4 linked regions of the Arabidopsis thaliana genome follow. The protein of the gene in region 2 binds, or shares a complex with, the protein of the main gene of each other region. Each region holds a gene or a part of one and is shown on either strand. Other genes may lie near its edges. The genes, in order: TIC55-II, Tic20-V, Tic22-IV and TIC40.

Region 1 (5,099 bases), on a different chromosome or scaffold from region 2:
ATCATGGGATGATGAGTTACAAGTAGGCGGAGTTGTTTTCAGAGATGATAAAAGCTCTGCAAAGCTAGGATCTGATTCTTTGGCATTATCAGAGTACGCTCAGATGACTGATGATGATGGGGAAGAGGAGGAGGAGGAGGATGAACAACAGAGTGCTTCAGATTCTGAAGATTCTGTTTCAAGTGATTATGATGAAGGGTCTCCACAAGGCATAGGCTTTCTAGAAAGCACAAATCTACCAAGAGGTGTCCAAACTGACACTGCCTTATTTGCTAAATGGGAGAATCATACTAGAGGAATAGCTTCGAAGATGATGGCAAGTATGGGTTACCGTGAAGGGATGGGTCTTGGCGTCTCTGGCCAAGGGATATTAAATCCAATCTTAGTAAAAGTACTTCCAGCAAAGCGGTCACTGGATTATGCTCTTGAGCACATTAGGAATGGAGAATGTAAAAGCGAGAAACAAAAGAAGAAAAGGAGCAGAGGTGGGAAAAGGAAGCGTGGGAAGAAGTTTGCAGAAGCAGCTAAAGCAGCGAAACAGGAAGAGGAATCGAAGCCAGATTTGTTTAGCTTAATCAATGAACAAATTTTTCCTACCCGCCATGAGAAAGTACACAGCGAGTCTGTAAAAAATAGGCAAAACAAAGGTCCAGTAGACAGGAAAGCTTTGGTTGAATACCAAGATGAAGTCAGAGACTTGAAGTTAGAAATGTTGAAACTAGAACAGATGGTGAACAGAAACAAGAAAGATCTAGTTGTTTCAGAGGCTGCGACGAGAAGATTGAAAGAAGTCCGAAAGGCATTGGCAAGTACATTAGCATGTCAAGCAGCTGCCTCAAATGCTATAGTAAGCAAAGAGAATGAGAAGAAATGGCTCAAGTTTTAGAACATAGAACTTTAAACCAGTTTAACAGAAATTTCATGGTTAAACTGTAAGATTGATGGCAAACATTGGAACCTTCTGAATTATATAATTGCGTTTACAAGCAAAAATTTATTTCATGAAATACATATTGTTGGAAGAAGAGGAAACATGACACTATACATTTTCATAGTCTTCTGTGTGTTCTAATGAAGTTATTGGTGTTTAGATTTATAGCTCTTAAGCAGGTATAAGCTGCGGCTGAGCACAATGCTGCTGAACCTAACAGGACAGCCTTCCACTGTCTACTAACCACCAGAATGGCCAAAGCCGTCAAAGCCACTGCCGTGGCAGAGAGGATATTTTTCCAGAGCTCAAAAGATTTGATCACATTGCTGCAGCTTCTACAATGAATAATATGTCTGAAGTACCGGTTAGCCAAATTGGGAGCATGCATAGTCCCAATTCCGCCTTTTGCAGGGTAAGAAGCAGAGAGAGCTGCAATGAGCCCTGCCGGGGCATGTTCCACGACAGGAGGGACTTTGGGGAGAGATATGGTCCTATGCCCGAAATGGTAAGGCATCCCATGACCAACTTTGTCCATCCACTTTCTATATTCAGCGACCCATGTGTCCGATGACTTTAGATTCAAATACAAGTCCTTAGTTGGTACTTTCTCCTTCATCAGAACCTCATTTTGAGACGATAGAAACCCCATGTCTTGTTCAAAAACCTTGCAGGCATTCTGATGCCAGAACCATTGAGGTAACACCGAAACCAAAGGCGATCTTTTTGTGACCCCAAACCTAACAATAAGCATAGACTTCCCTTGCCCTGTAGGTCTACAAAGAAACAGCCCTGAAAAATAGTTCTTCACTCCATCCTTCCCCTCGAACTCTCGATTGTTCTGCAGAACACAAGGAGCATCAAACCGAAGTAAATTACTCCCTTTCCCACCTTCTTTCTCTCGGCCCCAAGTCCCTGCGAAACCCCGATTACTTCGCTCTGTGACCTCGAAAACCAAAGGCTGAGCATCTTCTCTTTTAGCAGTGAAATCCGTTCTATCATGAGAGATAGGAACATGAGCAGGATCCATCAGATTCTCTAAAAGAATGGAATGGTCATAAGGAAGCTCATGAGTAGTCGAAATGTCGAAAAAACCGGGTCTAGCGAAATTCTCAAACCAAGGAAGCTTCTCAGGGTTTGGAGGTGTCTTTGTTGACATCCACACCCACACAACTCCTTGTGAATCCTTCACCTCATACGTCTTCACACAAGCAGCCTTTGGAATCTTAGCACTTGCAGGAAGCTGTTAGAAACAGAACCCAAAACCAGTAAGTACAGAGTAAAGAGAAAATCTCGAAATAGCAAAAATCAGTAAACAAAGAACCTGAGGAATCTTGACACATTTGCCCTCTCCTTCAAATTGCCAACCATGATACAAACATTCCAATCTCCCATCAATCAATTGTCCTTCAGACAACTTAGCCAACCTTTATAAAAAAAAAGACAAAACTCAATTTCAGATTCCTAAACAAAAGTACAAAACTAGTGGTTGTGGTTTTGCTAGATGATTTATCTTACCGATGAGGACACCGATCTTCGTAACAACGAAGTGTTCCTTCACCGTCTTTATACAAAACAATTTGACGATCGTAGACGGTGAGGCCAAGAGGCGCATCTTCAGGGACGTTTTTAGTTAAGTACAATGGATACCATTCCTCTGTCCAATCATAATCCGCCACCTCAACACGTTTCTCTTCTTCAGGGTTTAAAAGAACATCTCCACCTCCTTCTGTTTGATCAGATACGGCGGTTCCAGCGACGGCGGAGCGGCGGAGGAGACGTAGACGAGGCTTTGTGGGTATAGTGCATGTTGATCTGTGGTTGTGGATTATTGGTGTTGGTGTTACTTTAGTGAAGAGAATCGGAGAAGTGGGTGTGAGTTGTAGAGAAGAGCTTAGAAATGGAACAGCCATGGCGGATTCTTCACTAGAGAGCTCGAATCCAATGTTAGGTGTTGTTTGCCTCTTCTCATAAAATATATCATAAGGTTGCTTGTTCAACCATTGGACCTCGTTCCACCACATACATAGATAGTAGAAACTTTGGCTAAACGACGTCGTTTATTTTTACGTTATTTAAATGTCATTTTAACTTCTTTTTATTTTATTTTTAATCTTTTAAGTTTTAACATTAGTCTTTTTTGCTTTAATACATTTCATAGTGATGAAAAAAAAACATAAAACTATGTTAATAGTGATTAATTATTTATTCATTGTTGATAATAATAACAATAAAAAAGGCTATACTATGCCTAAGAACAGAAACTGATAACATAATTAGCACTAGTACATGTAAATCTACTCGAAGCATAATCGTACACATAGCTATACGCAGTGGGACAAGCTCCTTTAAATATCTTCGAGTATTTCGTCGGCGGGCAAGTCTCCGGTTTACTGAAAGCGCCGGTGCAACAATACTCCGGTTTGTTAAAAGCCTCACAAGCACTCTTACACGCCACAACACCCGATGAGCCGTTAACGCGTAGCTCTTTTGGACAAATGGCATTCACGTCCGAAACACATCCCGCGGTTTTACAATTGCCTGAGCCACCTTGTGGTGTGATTTTCACCTGAACGTTGTAACCGTCGACGAGACTCACGTCGTAAGAATCTTGTACGGTGTATTTCTTTCCAGAGGAGCCGATTCTGAATTCTGCTAGTGTGGCTGGTGGTGCTCCTCTTGCACCGGTGCATTTTTACATTTTCTGGAACCAGAGGCGTTGAAGTTGCAGCCCGTTCGACCCCAGATTCGACCAGACCAACCTGGAGAAACGGTTAAGTTTACAGAAGAACCTGAAGCTAAGGCAAATCCGCCGCCGCGGAGTAGTGTGCGGTTTGCGGTTAGGATTCCGGGCCACACAGTAAAGTTGCAGCGGTTTGATAAAGTGAAGACGGTGCCGGAGACAATAGAAATTGTACCTTGAAGAATATACAATTAAAAAAAAATTACTAGGACGGACAACAAAAAAAAATTATCAGATAAATTATTAAATCAAAGTAGTCATCTTAAAATGTTGGAAATGTTTTATGTATACATGTGGCTATGATGAAGGAGAAGAAGAGAAGATGTAATTTGGAGAAAATAGCCATTGTTAATCTGAGTATTGAAAAGTTGAAGTTGTGATGATTAGTGAAAGTTGATGGTGAGGATCCTCTGTTTATAGTGTTTTTCTTTTCTTTAGAAACAAATCCATTAACTTATTGTTTTGGATACTACTACCATAAGTGACACTTCATATTTTTATTTTTTTTACTTTTAAAGTTTAATGAGATTTTGTTTCTTATTACATAAAAATCAACTTTATTAATCTTAAGGAAATCTCCGTAAGCATTGATGTTTTGGATTTTACACACATTAAAAATTAAACATTATTTTATGACTGTTTATTTTTTATATTAAATATTTTTAATAACTATAAACTAATACTCATTGATTGTAATCTAATAAATTTAATCATTGCATCCTGAACTTTGTGATTTATAATATCAGTCAATAAAGAAGAAAAGAAAAAAAAAACTACAAAATTAAAGTGGAATAAACTTAAAATGATTAGAAAAAGATGGAGTACATTTTTTCTATTATTTTTTCACAAAGCTTTAAACCTAACATTAAAAAATTTGCTTGTTTTGTTTCCTTCGAAATTATAAGATTATTGCTTAATTAGGTTATTGAATTCGAGTCCAAAGCCACGACCCCCAGGTTTTAAAATCCAAATATCTCCGTTGCTTGTTTATTTTTGTTCTATATCGAGTTTATTATCTAAAAACGACAAACCTTTTACTGATTTCCACCATTTCTTGTACTTTTCAGGTTTTCTGAGACATGAAAGACAAAGAATTGGCTTATCAACAGAAACTATCAACAAATAAAGAGTTTCTGAAGCACATTATTAGATCCTTTTGTACATTTTTCTATTTATAGATTCTCTCTTCTTTTTTTGTATGCAAAAGTGACATATACTATAACAAGTCAAAGAAAGATGAATTCAATAAGCATGAGTGATTTTTTTAAATCTTCAAAAAGAAATATCTGAAAGGTACAAAAAAAAGTTTTCTGATTTTTGTCACAATAATGGAGAAATTCATACTATTTTAGGGTTTCTTACCCATAAAATTCACTGCATGCAGTGATTGGATTCACCACTTTCAAATTCTTGTTTTGTTTGTAAAAT
Region 2 (3,959 bases):
AATTCCTAATCTTATGTTAACACTCACTAAAAAAAATGGGAGTATATATAAAATTATTAATGATGAGTGTCAATCTTAGTTTTATCCGATGGAAAAAGGTTGTTAAGTAATTTTAATGTATTTATAAATAAAAAAACTGACGAAACTTTGTGACTCGTAAAAGAAATTTTTTGGTAAAGAAATTGACAATGAACAATTGTTGTTTGGGTCTATGATCATCATCACATTCAGTACAAATCCTATTTACGATAACAATAACCACAACAAGTAGAAGAGCAAAAAAGAAAAAGAAGGACAAACACTAGATTTGGTCACAAGCTTATGTTTGTGTTTTTAACAAGCTTGGTCAATTTCGCAACTAAGAACACCTACTGATGGATGTGTGGTCTTGAGAAGTGAAGCTGGTCGAGCTACCATACTCGAAAATTTCGCGTAGCTCGGAGAATCCTCTTTCCCTGACGGTGTAAAGAAAGCTCCGTTAACCATTTCGTCTCCTTCTGATTTCCAGTTCCATTCCTTCCATTCTTCGTCTCCATCTGCACTCTCTCGCTTTGTAACCTGCGTATAGGGCATGTGAGTTTAGAAGTATGGAGCAAACATTTCCGTCTAGAATCTAATCCATATAGTAAGACACATGAAAATCAAATTTCTAAATGATTAGTCGACTATGAATTAGATTGTACTAATTGTGAGGTTAAAACGCTCTTAGTTTTGTGGAGCACATGTCACGAACGTACCTCCTTGGTGAACTGATTATTGGAAGCTATGAAAACATTTCCTTGGCTAAAGATCGTTGGATTAGCACTTCCACCAATAGCATACATCTTCCAGTCTCTATAAATGTTATTCACTATGTGAAAATATCCATGCCTACACCTACACATTGGTATTTTAAGCACGAATATTTTGGTTAGCTTATAAATTTGACATTAAAAAAAGAAGAAAAAGAAATATAAGATTGTACTAACCTTGGCATTCTTTGGACAAGTCCTTCACCAAAATAGTTAAACGCGATCGTAACTCGCATATCCCGATCACCGGAATACTCATCACTATGGCCCAAAAGCATGACTTCATTATGATTCAACATGTAACTATTCGAAATCGTTATATCCGTGGATCCATTCACCGCATCAATAAGCCCATCGTAACATTTCTCTAACGTACAATGATCAATCCAAATATCTCGAGACTCGAATATCGATATTCCATCTCCATCCGAGTATCCTCCCAACGACGATAAAGCATTCCGTTTCACGGGAACACAATCGTGAATATAAAGATTGTTTATAATAATGTTACTAACTTTATATAAAGTTAAACACGGTCCATAAGCTATTTGTACGTTATTTCCTCTACCATCAATGGTTTTGTATGAAGCTACTTGAAGATCTTGTTTTAGTTGTATTACCATGTCTCGATCAAAAATGATCCATAGAGGTTGATCTTGTGTCGCAGCGTACCGTAATGTACCTGGAGTTGGATTTAGAGGATTGTCGTCTCCTGAATCAGTCACCGTGTAGAACTCCCCGGCTCTACCGCCAATTGAGTCGCGTCCGAATCCAACCGCGCAATCCGCGAGGTTTTTGCGGTTGTCCTTCCAGTTTTCGTCGCATCTCCAACACTCATCGATTGGATTTCCATTGGCTGAGCAAGAAGACGCTGTTGAATTTGATGTCACTGTCGTTGATAGTCTCCTTACTATTGGCGGTTTAGGAATCGCAAATGCAAACGCAAAAGAAGTGTTTAAGAGAAACAAGAAAAACGTACATACAATTGACATTATATGTTGTCTTAAAAAGAGATTAAAACCAACTAACAATTTCACTATGAACATTATGTTTATAATTTGCTCCAATATATATATGCAAGAGACATTGAAGTGCACTAAAAAATAAATACGGAGGTAATTAAATTAGGTGAAAATTGAAAGAATTGGGTCCAATACAAAGGCATTACGCCGTTTTATACCGGTGGATTTTGATATTTAAATATACACAAAAAACAAAGACAATAACAGAGGCTATTTAATTGTTACCTTACTTCAAATAACTACGTACCGTTTTATCATATTAGAAAGATAAGAAGACGACACAATGTTTTAAGCTAAACTTTTAAAACAGAGTGGAGTTTAGTTTATTATCCTCTCATCATGTGTTAAGCAGTCTTTCAGTTTTGTGTGAAGTGAAACAAAAACAGAGCAAAATGGCAATAATATCTCAGTTTTTTGCTCCATTACCATCTCTCACCGGAACCCTAACCCTAACCGGTCGTTCTTTTCTCCCTCTAAACCTTGATACCCAATTCCCAAAACCTAGACTTTCCAGGGACAGAGCCGCCACACTCGTACTCCAATCCAAGGGTGATGATTCCGTCGATGCATCGGATCGGATAATCTCAGCCGTCTGTTACTTCTACCCATTCTTCGATGGGATTCAATACGGCAAATTCATCATCACACAGTACCAACCTTTTCAGATTCTCATCCAACCTTTGTTTCCCGCCATCAGAGCTTTCAAGAGCTTCCCTTTCAATGGGTTTCTTATCTTCATCACTCTCTACTTCGTCGTTGTGAGGAACCCTAATTTCAGCAGGTACGTCAGGTTCAACACGATGCAGGCGATTGTGCTTGATGTGTTGTTGATTTTCCCGGATTTGCTTGAGAGGAGCTTTAATCCTAGAGATGGGTTTGGTTTAGATGTGGTGATGAGTTTGGACAGCACAGTGTTCCTCTTCTTGCTTGTCTCTTTGATCTATGGATTCTCTGCTTGCTTGTTTGGTCTGACCCCGAGGTTGCCTCTTGTTGCCGAGGCTGCTGATAGGCAAGTCCTTTGATTCAATAATATCTTTGTATGTAACACATTTGCTGTGATTAAACCTTCTGTATTGGATCGCTTTCTGATAATCAAAACATACAATGTAACTTTTTGATCCAATGAAAAAGGTTTCTGCAAGACTTTTGCAATAGAGATAGAACAAAATGAAGAATAGAAACAGAGAGAGATTTTATCATATAACAATTTTTGATTTGATTAGTTCTCCTCATCACATATCTGAAAAAGCAATATGGTGAGGAAAGATCGATTCTGTAACAAAAGACAAACACACCAATGGGTGGTGAGTGTGTTTACATATCTGCACTCATCTGTCTAATGAAAGGGACAAAGTTGTTCCAGTTCTCGACCCTAAAGATCTTCTCATTCATTCTGCAAAACGTAAATGATCTTAGAGTGTCGCCATTCGGTTGCACACAGTTCTCTCGTATTTGCCTTAGTCCCATCTGTTGCAGAATTCATATAGAAAATGGTTAATAACCACCACTTTGACCTCAGACGTATAAGACTAAAGCATGTGCAAATAACTCACCTCATCAAATCTTTCGCTTGTGTTTCTACCAGTCACATGTATTGTCCACTTCTTCGAAACATCATGTATCTAGCAAAAGAAAATGTGATAATGCTGATTTGTTCATGTTCTTATAAGGCATGCTTAATTGTCTAATGTAGCAGCGCAGTAAGAACACAGAGACTAGACTAGTTTGAAGTGTCTCTACGGAAGTAAATAGTGCTTCAACAGTGACCGGTCTAAATACAAGTAACATACATACTTCATATGAACATAATTGAATTCTGGATCAAGGGTTTACGAAAGAAAGTACCTGTCTACGTAATCCTTCAGGGCTGCAAAGATATTTCTCAGGTATTTCACTATCTGCCATATCCAAGCAGCTGAAAAGATATGATAGATTCTCTCGTTAGTGAAACTGGACCATGCAGCTTCTGAGAATTATGTACATAGTAAAAGAAAACTTCAGAAAAAGGCTCTCACGGGATGTTGAGAGCAGCACCATGACGAGACAAGACGGAAGCTACAGGATCATAACCATCCCTGAGGGAGGTGTTGTAATAACCTGCAGTTAGTTCAGCGGGGTGTGAAGATGTCTTATACCACCAATAGAT
Region 3 (5,339 bases), on a different chromosome or scaffold from region 2:
AGGGTAGAGAAAAAAACAAAAACATGGTAATTAGTACTTTAAGTAGAGGTTGAGTTTTTTTGAGTAGGACAAAAAAAACGTCTAAAAGAGTTTACATTGGACGTGTCAAAGGATTTTCTTTACTCAAACACAAGCCTGATGTATTATTATTAAACAAAGATATGTCGCCAACGATTGTGGTTGGATAATGACATGAGTTTGCGATACGTATGCCTTAAGATACGTATTTGCTCTCACCTCCAAACATGGGACCAAAATTACAATATTGTAAGGGATCCTTTTTATTTACTACATATATCACTTTATCTCATCCAATGCAAAACCCAAAAGGGATTTCATTAAAAGTTATCTACCGTCATTTGAAGGTTCTACTATTAATGGTGCTCCAGGACATTGACTTTTGTTACCACTTTATCTATTCACAAATCTTGGTAAATAATGAGACAAATTGTGAATGCTTGCTGTTACATAAGTTCGGAGAACATGTAATCTCCGATAAAGACTATACAACAACTTAACACAATACAAAAATAAAATAAAGTAGTAGTTACAGCTCAATTGAATAAAGGAAAATGTCATCAAAAGTAGGATAATAAACTACATATTTCCGCCCAAAAAAAAAAAACTAAAAAAAAACTACATATTTCCACAATTTGATGATCTTTATCAGAAAACGATGCAATCTATGTTAGAAAATAAATTATGTTACAGATTTGTTCACAAAACCTCTACCAACTACAACTTTTGAAAAATTGGTACAAAAGACCATAGGCTACAATTGGTTGGAAGAATAAAGAAGAGAAAAAATGTTAGTAGGTGCAATATGCGACGACGGAGGAAGTCAAGCAAGCAACAAGTTTAGTTCTGCTGTCAACATCGCTTACTTACGCTTCAGGAAAGGATCAATGCTTTTGAAACAATCTCATCTCCTTTTCTTTTTCTTACTTCAACTTGTTTTTTTTAAGGCAGTAACAATTAGTAAGGATGAAAATAATCACATTATCATTAAGCTGAGATGTCAAAGCGATTATGATGAGAGGAAAAGAAAATGAAAATAAGTATTGGTAAGACATCTTAGTTTTAATAATCGTATATCAACCAAATTTGATCAATAATTAGCTTAAACCAACATATCATTTTAGAGGCCTCAACCTCCTTTGAATAATTAGGCTGATACTACATTCTAATGACAGATGAATAACGTACATCTCCACTTTTTAAAACAAACAAGATTATGTTATTTGATTTAGGTATCCGTATATGCCAAATATATTTTTCTGGATGTAAGAACCACGAGTAACATGTTGATGATGTGTTTAAGTGGTAAAAGGAGAGGAGAAAACTAAATTTTGGGACTGTGTTGAGCTCTTTGGGCAATTGATAATATTGCAAAATCTCAAAAGAGGCTGTTTTTTTTTTATCAAGTAAAAATACACACATTGTGTCTATTATGGTTTTACTCTTTGATCAAATCCTGCATGTGTTGTGCATAACTTCTTCCCGGTGGAATGAATATTACATCTTCCCAACCTGAATTCTTCTCGCTCATCTACATTGATTCAATTCAGATTTTTATTAGACTACCAGGTTTTCATACTTTAAGGTTTCTTTAAACAAAGAAGAAGCGTGAGTACCTCCATTTTCCTCAACACATCTTCCAGACTCCCAACCTGCAAAACAAAAAGATTAGTTCCATGGTGAAGATAAGAAAACTCTTAACAAAACCAATGCTGTGAAATTACTTTATATATTGATCTCTGATATGCAACTTTGATAACGATAAACCTTGGAATTCATTTTAACTCAGATATATGAAGGCATGTACAATCTGAATTCCGCTCTTTCTAAAGTTTTCTAAGACTTTTCCCTTTCCCTCGCTGTTCCTTTGAAAACATGGTGTTATATGTTTGCAGAACATGTAATCACAAAAAATGCTAGAAATTACATATGATGCCAACACAGCTACTAGCTACTCCCACTTGTTAGTAAACCATGTCTTTAGATCAAGGTGTTTGTTTCTATCTTACGTGGCCTATCGAAGATTCAAATACATAGAAGGTAGGTATGAATCATTACCATAATTTGTTGATCTCCTCTTGATGCTCTCGTATATTTAGAAAGTTCCCTCTCTATATCTTCCTGAAAGTGGTCACGCAGAACAGGAAAGTAAGAGTTATCTTCCTCTGTTTTGGCTTATGAGAGATCTATTAGTATTCTTTAACGTGGGAGAAGAAACTAACCAACCTTACTGAAATATACAGGGCAGTAACGTCTATTTTTTTTCCTCACAACAAGAAGCTCAGACTGTAGAGGCCAATAACAACAGATAGATATCAAGAGAAAACAAAGCAAAAACACCAAAACATAAGGAATCCATATTGGTATAATAGAAAAACACAGAAAATGAGTATATCAATTTACCTGAAAAACCGGAACTCCATCAAACCCATTCTTATTTCCTGAGGATTTGAGCTGAGACGCAAGAAAATATAGCTTATGGATAAGATTGAAATGCCAAATAAATGCTATAGACACATATAATTAAAAGTCTGTTTAGCATGAGCCAACCTCTAACGCATTCTTTATTTGGATTGGATCTGGCAAGAAGCGAAAGGAAATCCCTTCAACTTTTAGCAAGTACACCTGTAAACAACATCATCTTAACTTCTGGGAATGTAGCTACCACGATTACGCAAATAACATCAAAAAGTTCCCTAAACGTAGTTATAACTTATAAGTTCCAAGCCATTAGAGGGATTATAATCATGCCATCGTTGCATTCTTTCTTGTGACGATGTTGTCAACATTGCTACGTGCACAAGAACACAATCTCCCGTTCATTCAAACTGCCAACAGGTGTTCCTATTACCGTATAATATAAACAACTAAAATGAGGCCAGACATGAACAAGTCTACTTAGAATTTGAGCTCCTGAAATTTGTTTGTTTCATTTGATTTAACCAATGGCTTCTTCCACATTGATCTAATGCAGTGATCATAAGGAAAGGGAACTACCTGGTCCAGAGTAATGGGAACAACCTTCGCATTGGTTTTCAATTCTCTTCTCCGAAGTCGCGCCTAAAGGAGTATATTAGAGAATTATGAGCTCAGAAACTTCACATTTTTTTAAAAAAGTTCGGAGGAGAAAAATACAACAAAAAGCGAAACCTGAGCAAGAAAAGCTTCAGCATCCTCTTGTCGAAAACAGAGCAAACCGATAGACTTGCCTCCGGTAGGATCCGAGATAAGAACGAATTCGTTATTGGTGTTACTGACTGTAAACACCGACGTCCCAGCGAGAGCTTTAGCGACAAGAGATGGACTCAACGTCGTCGTCGGGGTTCCAGACTTGGATTGTGAGACGGAGGCGAAAGGCGGCGGAGTAGGAAGAGAGAAACGTCGAGTAGCTAGGGTTTCGGCGAATCGTTTCGTGTCTTCGATTCGGGCGGAGAGGTCGGAGCTGAAGCGGGTACACTGGTGGTGAATGAAAGAAGAGAAGGAGAGGAAAGGATTGGGTTTCACTGATGACTCCATTTTTGGATTTGCAGAGAGAAGAAAGAAGTAGAAGAAGAAGAAGCAATTTTTGATACTATGAAGAGAGTGAAGAAAAAGGCTTCAGAGCAATTCGTTTGGGCTTTTTTATTTGGGCTTTATTGGACTTGATTGGTTTTAGTTTACGTTTAATATGGCCCTTGATCAAAAGTTTGGTGACAAAGCATTTATTAACTTTCTAAACTCAACTTCCACACCATTCTAAACACATGACATGACTTACAAAAAGCTTTTGTCACTCAAAATTCATGTCGATGACATTTTTTTCCTCCAAATTTCTCCTCCTTATAAAATACTTACTAGATCAAGCAAACAACACACTAAAGAAAACAAAATTGTTAAAACTCTCGTTAACTGAAAAATATGAGGAACATTACTACTACAACCCGAAAAATGTTACTACTTGTGATTACGATTTTATTGGGGATTGCGTATCATGGAGAAGCCATAGCATGTCCGCAGGTAAACATGTACTTAGCACAATGTTTGCCTTATCTAAAAGCTGGAGGAAATCCGTCTCCAATGTGCTGCAACGGACTTAATAGTCTAAAAGCCGCAGCGCCTGAGAAAGCCGATAGACAAGTAGCTTGTAATTGCTTGAAGAGTGTAGCTAATACAATCCCTGGAATTAATGATGATTTTGCCAAACAACTCCCTGCTAAATGTGGTGTTAATATAGGAGTCCCTTTCTCTAAGACTGTGGACTGTAACAGGTAGCTACTGCAGTTTCTTTTTAATATTGCCGAAACATGTGTAGTTGTGAGAGCTTCTAACTACATAATCCTCTAATTGACCTATTTAATTTGTTTTGTGAACACTGAACAGCATAAACTGAAAAGAAGATTGACTACCAACGGCCATGCAGCTACAATAAAGTGGATATCCTAAAAGATCAAAACCATCATGAACAAATTATATGGATACTTAGTATTTATCTTCTGATCATATATGTTATAGATGTAATCATATAGTTCTTGGCAGATAAAATGTGATTATTTCCCACATTTACATATTCCCTCTTTCCTACTCTCACACGTAGCTCAACATCTTAAAATATGATCATCAGCATTTGCACACAATGTTTCACATTTATTTGACATACACGATCAAAACGAAGCAGTTTTGTAACAAGATAAAAATCGATTGGGTTAAAAGTGTAACGGGAGAAGTAAAAATGTAGTCATCACTCATCATAGTGACTGAATTCAAGGGAATATTATTCTTCGAAATACCTGAAAGATGGGAAATTTGAATTTCAGTAGTGAATGACGCCCAGACTCTTCAACCAAGGGAGCATCTCCTCCAATCCTTCCTTTAGGCTTCGAGGGTTATAACCAAGTTCCAGCTTAGCCTTATCACAAGAGTATGACCACTGATGTCTCAGCACTGTCACTGTCTGTTCATCACAAAATACTAAGAGTTGAGATTATTCTATACCTAATAAGATAATCTATAATATGTGGGCAACTAATGAATGCAATTGAAACTCACCGGAGGACTGATAAGTGGAAGCTTTCCTGTAACCCGAGAGATTAAAACAGATAACCATCCGTATGCGTTGATGGCCCATAATGGAATGCTAAAGTTTGGCTTTTTGGTTCCAGTAATCAGTGCAGCCATGTCAAAGACAAGCTTGAAAGAAGCATTTTCCCCAGTGAGTAAGTATCTTTCACCAAGCCTACCTTTTTCCATTGCAGCAACATGACCCTCCACAACATCATCAACATGGCTGAAGGAGTATCTATCCGTCCCAGAGCCAATATATCCAGGCAACCTCCCGTTAAAGC
Region 4 (6,749 bases), about 17 Mb from region 2:
ACTTTCATCAATGATTAAACTTTAACAATATAATATCCAATTCCAAAGATAATGTGTAATGTTCTCGCATAGAGTTCTTGAGGTTACATTACCTAAGACTAAGAAAGAGACAATATTTACTAAAAAGACAAAAGCTTTCTGAATAATCATGCTCACAGAATATCACATACCGTCAAACATTACGATTTTATAACTAAAACACTCTTCAAATGAATACCAAGCAAGGATGGTTTTTTCTCCTCGATTTTCTCAAGAGTCAGGGGATTATAAAGAACGGAAATACAAATTTGAAGTCACAAGGATACTTACCCACGACTCAATCATGCGACTCACAGCCGTCGGAGGCAGACGTATTCGACGGAGCCAAGGATTTCACGCGCCAATTCTCCCGACAACGACCGACGTACGGAATACAACAACAACAAAAAAAAACTCCGACTCCGATAGAAGTGGAACGATAAGGGTCATTGATTTCTTTAAGATGGGGCCATCACTTCATTAAACCGCTTCGATATCGCCACGTCACTTCTCCTTTTGGATATTAAAAATAAGGTAAAATTCCAAAATAAATCACAACTATTTAAAATTTGCGAGAAAAAAACTTCAATTTTTTAAATTGCTAAAACAAAATATTGGCAGATTTATTCACACAATCTCAAACAAAAAAAATTGAGGTTTTTTCAAGCAAATTTTGAATACATGAAGTTTATTTTGGAAATTTTCCCTTAAAAATAATAATTTGCTCTTCAGTGTCTTCATAGACTTTTTTTGGTAAGACAACAAATTCTATTGTATAATATTCATACCAAACAACAGCAGCGGCGTTTTCACACGACTCCAATTCCCGACCGCGTTTAAGATTAACATGGTACACAATTCTCTGATCTGACCAAAACTGAAGACTCTTTGCAAAAAAAAAAACATTTTTTTCTCCCTACAAAAAGCTAAAGACAATGTGACATTTTTGATAGAACCAAAGACGTGAGCTTTTTCAACCCGTCATTCCTGGGAAGAGCTGCGATATCTTGTTGAACACATCCATTACCTGCAATCAATGTATAATAACCTCAAATTTCTTAAAAAAGTAATCGCCTTTTTGGGCAATGGAGAAGTGGCAGTATTATTACCTCTTTGTCGTTTTGGTACTTCATGATGTTCATTGGGTTCTCTGAGCACTGCAACAACAACAAGAATGTAATTGGTTTCTGTTTTGTATGAAGAAAGAAGTGGGGTAAAATTAAGCAATTCTCTTATTCAGGTTAAAAGAAAACGTACTTCCATTAACGCTGCTTGGACTCTAGGATTCTGGAATGCCATGGCAACATCAGGGTTCTCCATGATCTTAGATATGACTTCTTCTGGAGTTAGTCCTATTTGATCTGACAAATACAGATTCAATCATTGAGTATCAGACCTATTTAACGTACTATTAACTTGGTACAAACTGAGATTTGTCTTACTGAATTGTTGCTTCACTTCAGGACTATTCAGGTCAAAATTCTTCAATGTATCTGTCATTCGCTTGTCCCATTCACCACTCCCACTCATATTATTCCTAAATTCATGAAAAGAAACAAACAAGAGTATTTCTTAATTACATAGTTTAGACATTCTTAAAAGCAATGGAAACAACTAAATTGTTCGTAAAATGGAGCTCTTACAACATGTCCTGTAGTTGTTGACGGTACTGAGGATTTTTAAGCATCCCTACAAAATTCCAAGCGGAGACAATAAGTACCAAACTGTATTTTAAATTTAGATAACCATTGGATCAACCTATAAACGAATTACATCATTCAAAAGCTAGTCATGTAACCTTTAGTCTTTAGAAATATGTAAAAATGAGGACTAATAAAAGAATGATAGCAGGATTAAATATTAAAAGACTTACATTTGAAAGTTTCTGGGTTCCTCATCTCCTCAGGCAAGTATCTGCATTTATACATGCAATGTTACCAAATGTCCACTAAGCAACCAGTTTTAAAGATAAACTTAATGGATGCATTTAAAGACAATGTGCTAGGGAAGATGAGTTACGGGTAAACCATCTTCTGGACTGTTGGATCTTCCATCATTTTCTCTAAAGCTTCTACAGATAAACCCGGCCCTCCTTTCCCACCACCTGTGTAAACAATAGACAGACTCAGGATTCAGTTTTAAATTTAGAATAAGGAAAAGAGAGACAATAACGTGAGCATATAAGAAAAAAGAATCATAACACATGAGATATGAAACAGATTGCCAAGGTAATATCCTGCAAGTCTTATATGGTTATACCAATACAGATCAACGACTAGCAGAAGGACAAAAGTAACGGAGTAGATCCTTTTGAAGCCAACTCATTCCTCTTTATCACCAATTTCATATCTTCCTTTGTTTATAATTGTTGGCATATGCTATAAAATAAAATTGAAATCCGTAGCCTTAATCATGAATCATGCACAGTGCGCTGATAGTGATGAAAACTGAAATTCAATAACTCACCCAAAGATTGAAAAACCTCTGAAGCAGTGGCACCATTTGCCGGACCAGCTCCATTTTGCAAGACCTTCACCCAGAGATCAATAAGAGAGCATAGAAGGTTAGCAAAACTATGTCACGTTTTTAAATCACCACTTGGTGTGCTGTGGAAATACAAAAGAAAACGAAACTTACATCCTCAAACAAGCGAGTTTCTTTGGGGGAATTAGTTTCAGAGACTTCTGCATAGTTGCTAAATGGGCTTTCTTTTGTGGTTTCCTCGGGTGAAATGTCTTCAAAGGCTGCATCCAAAAGTAAATCAGCTTCCAAGTTAGAAGCTTGGAAAATGAGAAAGGAAGAAAGTCAAAATTGAGAATACAAATGAAAAGACGTTGATTTCTGAAACAGAAAAAGAATCTACCATAGTTCTTTTCTTCTTTCTTCTCTTTGCTTGCCTCTAAGACAACACTTGGCTTATCCACCTCTATATCCTTTGCAGGTGTAGGTTTCGGTTTAGTTGAAGGAGGTGTCTCTACTTTTGTCGCTGTCACATCAACGGTAGCACCTGAAGACTGGGATTGAGATTGGAATGGCGAGGAAGCAGGACTTGTTTGAGGAGGAAATGGAAACGGAAAAGGTGATCCTGATGGGAATCCAGAATTATTAAACTGGCTATTTTGCGTATTCATTTGGTTCATCATCGTCTTCATAGCTGTTTGCATTGCATATTTCTAAACCAAAGCAAAAAAAAAAATCCAAAGAGAGTAACAGCCGGTTAGAGAATAATGAGAGAAAGCAATGACAACTTGTATAATATATTTCAATCAAATACTGGAGTTGCGAAAATGACTATAAGTCTGAATACCTGAGTTGCATCACTAAAACCATAATGGTATGTAGGTTACCATCTACGAATCAAGTGACTACCCAAAAAAAGAGAGGCAAAAGTTCGATGCTTATATAAACGGTTCAACAAGTGTGAGCAAACAGTTCACCTTGTTAAGATAACCAGTTTAGTGAATAAAACTATCTCAGATACATGAGCACAATACACTAGAGTTGACATGAAGCATAAAATCGTGGTTCTGCAACAGACTAGAGAACAAAAGTCCCGTAAAACCAGAGGGCCAAGTATCTGTACCTTTAAATTTGAAGTTACCTGCAATGCCATCAGAAAAGAAAAAAGGTCAAGCACTTATTAATCAATATTGAAGCAAGAAAGAATATTTATAGAGGAAAAAAAAATTAGGAAGGAATCTTGATACTCACATATGAGAACAAAGCTGATAGACCAACACCAACACCAATCCAGAAAAGTGGTGATCCTCTACAAGAAAAAAGAAAAAACACAATTTAATAACCAAGAATCAAACGACATACAAACTAAGCACATTGTCCAAAACCAGGAAAATTACATGGTTGATGAAGATGGTGGTGGCACAGGCACACTAGGGGAAGCAACAGAAGTTGTCTGTTGATCACGACTCGAAGAAAATATACTTGCAAAAGCTTTGCTTCTCTGTTTCACAACCACTGCAAATCGAACATAAACTTAAAGTAAACAATTCTAACAATGAATGGTTTCTACAAGAATTCAAATTGCAAATTCACAAAGTGTGGATTTTTTTAAGAGATATAGCAATTCATAAGCTCATATTAAACCAGTCGAAAAGGGTTCGCAATTTGAGTTTCAATAAGATAGATAAAAGTAATAAACTGGAAATTTTTCCGGAAAATTTTGGCATTTGCTATAATAGAGTGTCGAGTGGAATTTGCAAACTAACCGATTTCTCCAGTGTTCTCCGGACGCGAAGAGGGAGATTGAGATTGAGCAGAGGCAGATATTTTGGAACACCGGAGGACAATATTAGGAGTCCGACGAGAAAACCCAGTAGGGTTTTTCAGCGAGGAAGTGAAATTGCATCCAATTAACAGCTTTGGAGAAGAAGCTGAGCAAGAAACTAGGGTAAGGTTCTCCATATCTAATTGTTTCTTTGGGAGAAAAAGAAACAGAAGAAGGAGAGCCTAAAACAAATTCTGGTGGAGAAGATGAAAGATATGATGAGGAAGAAGGAAACGAAGAAGAAGAGATTTTGGTCTAAAACCACGAGGTTTGAGTTTAGCACTAGACTTGGATCCAGTGTAGCTAAGTGTACTGAAACCTTTTTACAAATTAACAGGTGGCGATATTTTCACCGTCAAGATCAATGAGTTTTATTTATAAACCAAGGGTGTGATGTGAGTGAGAAACTCTTTCGAGATTATTGCAAAAGCCATCCCCCACTTTTTCTTTTTGTTATGTTATAGCCCGTATCTATTTTAAGAATCAGTGTACACTCATTTTTGTAGCAGAAAATCAATGATGTTAGTACTGTGATTCAGATTTTTCTATATACTGTGTTCTTTTTCTTTTTTTCATCCAGAATTTTTCCATTGTATTATAGGTTGTGAAATACAAAGGGTGGAATACAAATTTGAAACACAAAGCCGGCGGAAAACAAAAATATCTCCGGAAACTAAACCTAAAGAAGGGAAAACTTAAGACGAAAAACGAATAAAATTACGAACTATGGAAACAAGGGGAACCACAGATGGATTAGTCCCCAATTAAGCCCATACATGAGAACAACAAAATTGGCTAGGTTTTTCGTTGTGTTTCTCGTCCAAACGAATGAGACTACGCCCAAATGGGACTAATCCATTTGTAGTTATACTGTTGTGTTTTTCGGATTGTCCAAAAAATTGAATACTTAGTTCAAAGCTCACAATGAACAGGTTCAAGAGCCTTACGCCTTTAACATTGATTTAGGATTAGAGAGTCTGGAACCGTTGCCGAGTTACATAGTTTACACATTTCTTATTAGAAAAGAGTTTTAGTAATAAAGAAAGATACACTTTCATATAGTTTCTGAATATTATTATGGAAGTGTAAGTCTCCTATATGTAACTCGTTCACCTTCATCATCAAATTGGTTTACACAGTTTGTTCCATATGTCATTCCCAAAGTACATTGTTCTGTCAAATTATTCCACCATGTGGTAAACATCGAATAATGCTCTCTTCTATTTTCCCAATTTTTTGTGAATTTTCCCCAATTCGAACATAAAATGACATTAAAATTCCTAACTCAATATCTTTGTAAGAAGAAACCCACTCTTGGTTGGATACATATCAAGCATCCAAAAAAGATCACAAAGTAATCTTACAAATCAGCTACGTTTAACAATATCGAAGACAAAAACAGAATTCATAGCTGCTTCTCAGACAAAGGGCACAATGATTCCACATATGAGTGCTTGAGAAAATGATAATGTTCTTCAAGATTTAAACTAAGAAAAATATCGAACAAGAGCTCTACACTGATCTCTTCCTTGATCTAAAACACAAAGGGAAACAAATCCCCTTCAAGTATTTTAGATCAAAGTGTCATCAAGCAATACATATAGCTCAAGAACTCTTTCTTTGGATTAAATCAAGAAGAACCACATCACATTCTCAAGCCCATCTTTTCAGTGTGGTTAAAGCAATATAATCATCATAGAACAGCCAAAAAAACAAACCAATTTTTTTTTTTAAAACAACAAATTTAGAAAAACTGAATATGAGAAAAAGCTGCTTCTCAGACAAGGGCCAAGGTTGTCCACATGAGTGAGCTTGAAAAACGTGAATGTTCTTCAAGCCTCAAACCATGAAAAATGTTGATAAGAGCTCGACATTACTCTCTACCTTAATCTAAACCACAAAGGAGAAAAAGAATCCCCTTCAAGCAACTTAGATCAAAGTGTCATCAAGAAACTCCGAGATCAAATCTAATCTTTCTCTGGTTTGAATCAAGAAGAGCAAAATCACATTCTCAACCCCATCTTTTCAGTGTGGTTAAAGCAAAAAGAATCATCATAGAGCAGCATCAAAAAGCAAATTTTCACAAAACCTTTATTTGAGAAAAGGTTAACACTTTATCATAGAAATTCGAAGATCTAAAATATCCAAACATAAGATCAGAATTAAAAACATAGGAAGATGTCGAATCTCGAGAAAATGCTAGAATCCACGGGAAAAAAAATTCCCAGAATGCTACATGTCCAGAGACTCCAAACCATCAATGAAGATGTTTGATTTAGCATCGGAACATAAGATTTCTTTTAAGCTATACATGAGTGCTAAGCTTAAAGACTCCTATCACAAATCTGTTCCTTATATGCTATTCTTAACCTAAGATTTCGTAGCGAAAAATTCAGATTTTAACAGAAAATCAGAACAAAAAAATCGGATCTTTTCGTGAAGATAA

What was found.
Region 1: Tic20-V (region 2) and TIC55-II share a complex: the UniProt entries of both Arabidopsis thaliana proteins name them as parts of the tic complex.
Region 3: Tic20-V (region 2) and Tic22-IV share a complex: the UniProt entries of both Arabidopsis thaliana proteins name them as parts of the tic complex.
Region 4: Tic20-V (region 2) and TIC40 share a complex: the UniProt entries of both Arabidopsis thaliana proteins name them as parts of the tic complex.

The regions. Positions count from the first base shown.
Region 1 is NC_003071.7:10,572,780-10,577,878, reverse strand, and holds TIC55-II (translocon at the inner envelope membrane of chloroplasts 55-II), read right to left. Parts: upstream 2,938-5,099; 5' UTR 2,842-2,937; coding exon 2,447-2,841; intron 2,356-2,446; coding exon 2,253-2,355; intron 2,172-2,252; coding exon 1,050-2,171; 3' UTR 941-1,049; downstream 1-940. Other genes in the region: AT2G24830 (zinc finger (CCCH-type) family protein / D111/G-patch domain-containing protein), read left to right, coding at 1-886; AT2G24810 (Pathogenesis-related thaumatin superfamily protein), read right to left, coding at 3,180-3,415, 3,498-3,632, 3,691-3,846, 3,963-4,017. UniProt on the Arabidopsis thaliana protein: Involved in protein precursor import into chloroplasts. Part of the redox regulon consisting of TIC32, TIC 55 and TIC62.
Region 2 is NC_003076.8:22,553,871-22,557,829, reverse strand, and holds Tic20-V (TIC 20-v-like protein), read left to right. Parts: upstream 1-2,179; 5' UTR 2,180-2,205; coding exon 2,206-2,835; 3' UTR 2,836-2,952; downstream 2,953-3,959. Other genes in the region: AT5G55720 (Pectin lyase-like superfamily protein), read right to left, coding at 334-558, 738-876, 969-1,783; BAM4 (beta-amylase 4), read right to left, coding at 3,128-3,280, 3,367-3,435, 3,659-3,728, 3,829-3,959. UniProt on the Arabidopsis thaliana protein: May be involved in protein precursor import into chloroplasts. Not redundant with TIC20-I, TIC20-II or TIC20-IV.
Region 3 is NC_003075.7:16,063,182-16,068,520, forward strand, and holds Tic22-IV (Tic22-like family protein), read right to left. Parts: upstream 3,717-5,339; 5' UTR 3,535-3,716; coding exon 3,169-3,534; intron 3,079-3,168; coding exon 3,016-3,078; intron 2,644-3,015; coding exon 2,569-2,643; intron 2,473-2,568; coding exon 2,422-2,472; intron 2,305-2,421; coding exon 2,245-2,304; intron 2,140-2,244; coding exon 2,077-2,139; intron 1,671-2,076; coding exon 1,635-1,670; intron 1,550-1,634; coding exon 1,457-1,549; 3' UTR 1,256-1,456; downstream 1-1,255. Other genes in the region: AT4G33355 (Bifunctional inhibitor/lipid-transfer protein/seed storage 2S albumin superfamily protein), read left to right, coding at 3,916-4,265, 4,378-4,387; FLDH (NAD(P)-binding Rossmann-fold superfamily protein), read right to left, coding at 4,808-4,948, 5,044-5,339. UniProt on the Arabidopsis thaliana protein: Involved in protein precursor import into chloroplasts. Imported into the intermembrane space via the Toc translocon. May be involved in the import pathway used by proteins without a cleavable N-terminal pre-sequence.
Region 4 is NC_003076.8:5,448,499-5,455,247, reverse strand, and holds TIC40 (hydroxyproline-rich glycoprotein family protein), read right to left. Parts: upstream 4,629-6,749; 5' UTR 4,441-4,628; coding exon 4,245-4,440; intron 3,994-4,244; coding exon 3,876-3,993; intron 3,788-3,875; coding exon 3,730-3,787; intron 3,620-3,729; coding exon 3,602-3,619; intron 3,192-3,601; coding exon 2,882-3,191; intron 2,763-2,881; coding exon 2,656-2,762; intron 2,549-2,655; coding exon 2,485-2,548; intron 2,123-2,484; coding exon 2,038-2,122; intron 1,933-2,037; coding exon 1,892-1,932; intron 1,708-1,891; coding exon 1,662-1,707; intron 1,556-1,661; coding exon 1,461-1,555; intron 1,380-1,460; coding exon 1,276-1,379; intron 1,176-1,275; coding exon 1,128-1,175; intron 1,046-1,127; coding exon 992-1,045; 3' UTR 671-991; downstream 1-670. UniProt on the Arabidopsis thaliana protein: Involved in protein precursor import into chloroplasts. Part of the motor complex consisting of a co-chaperone (TIC40) and a chaperone (HSP93) associated with the import channel (TIC110).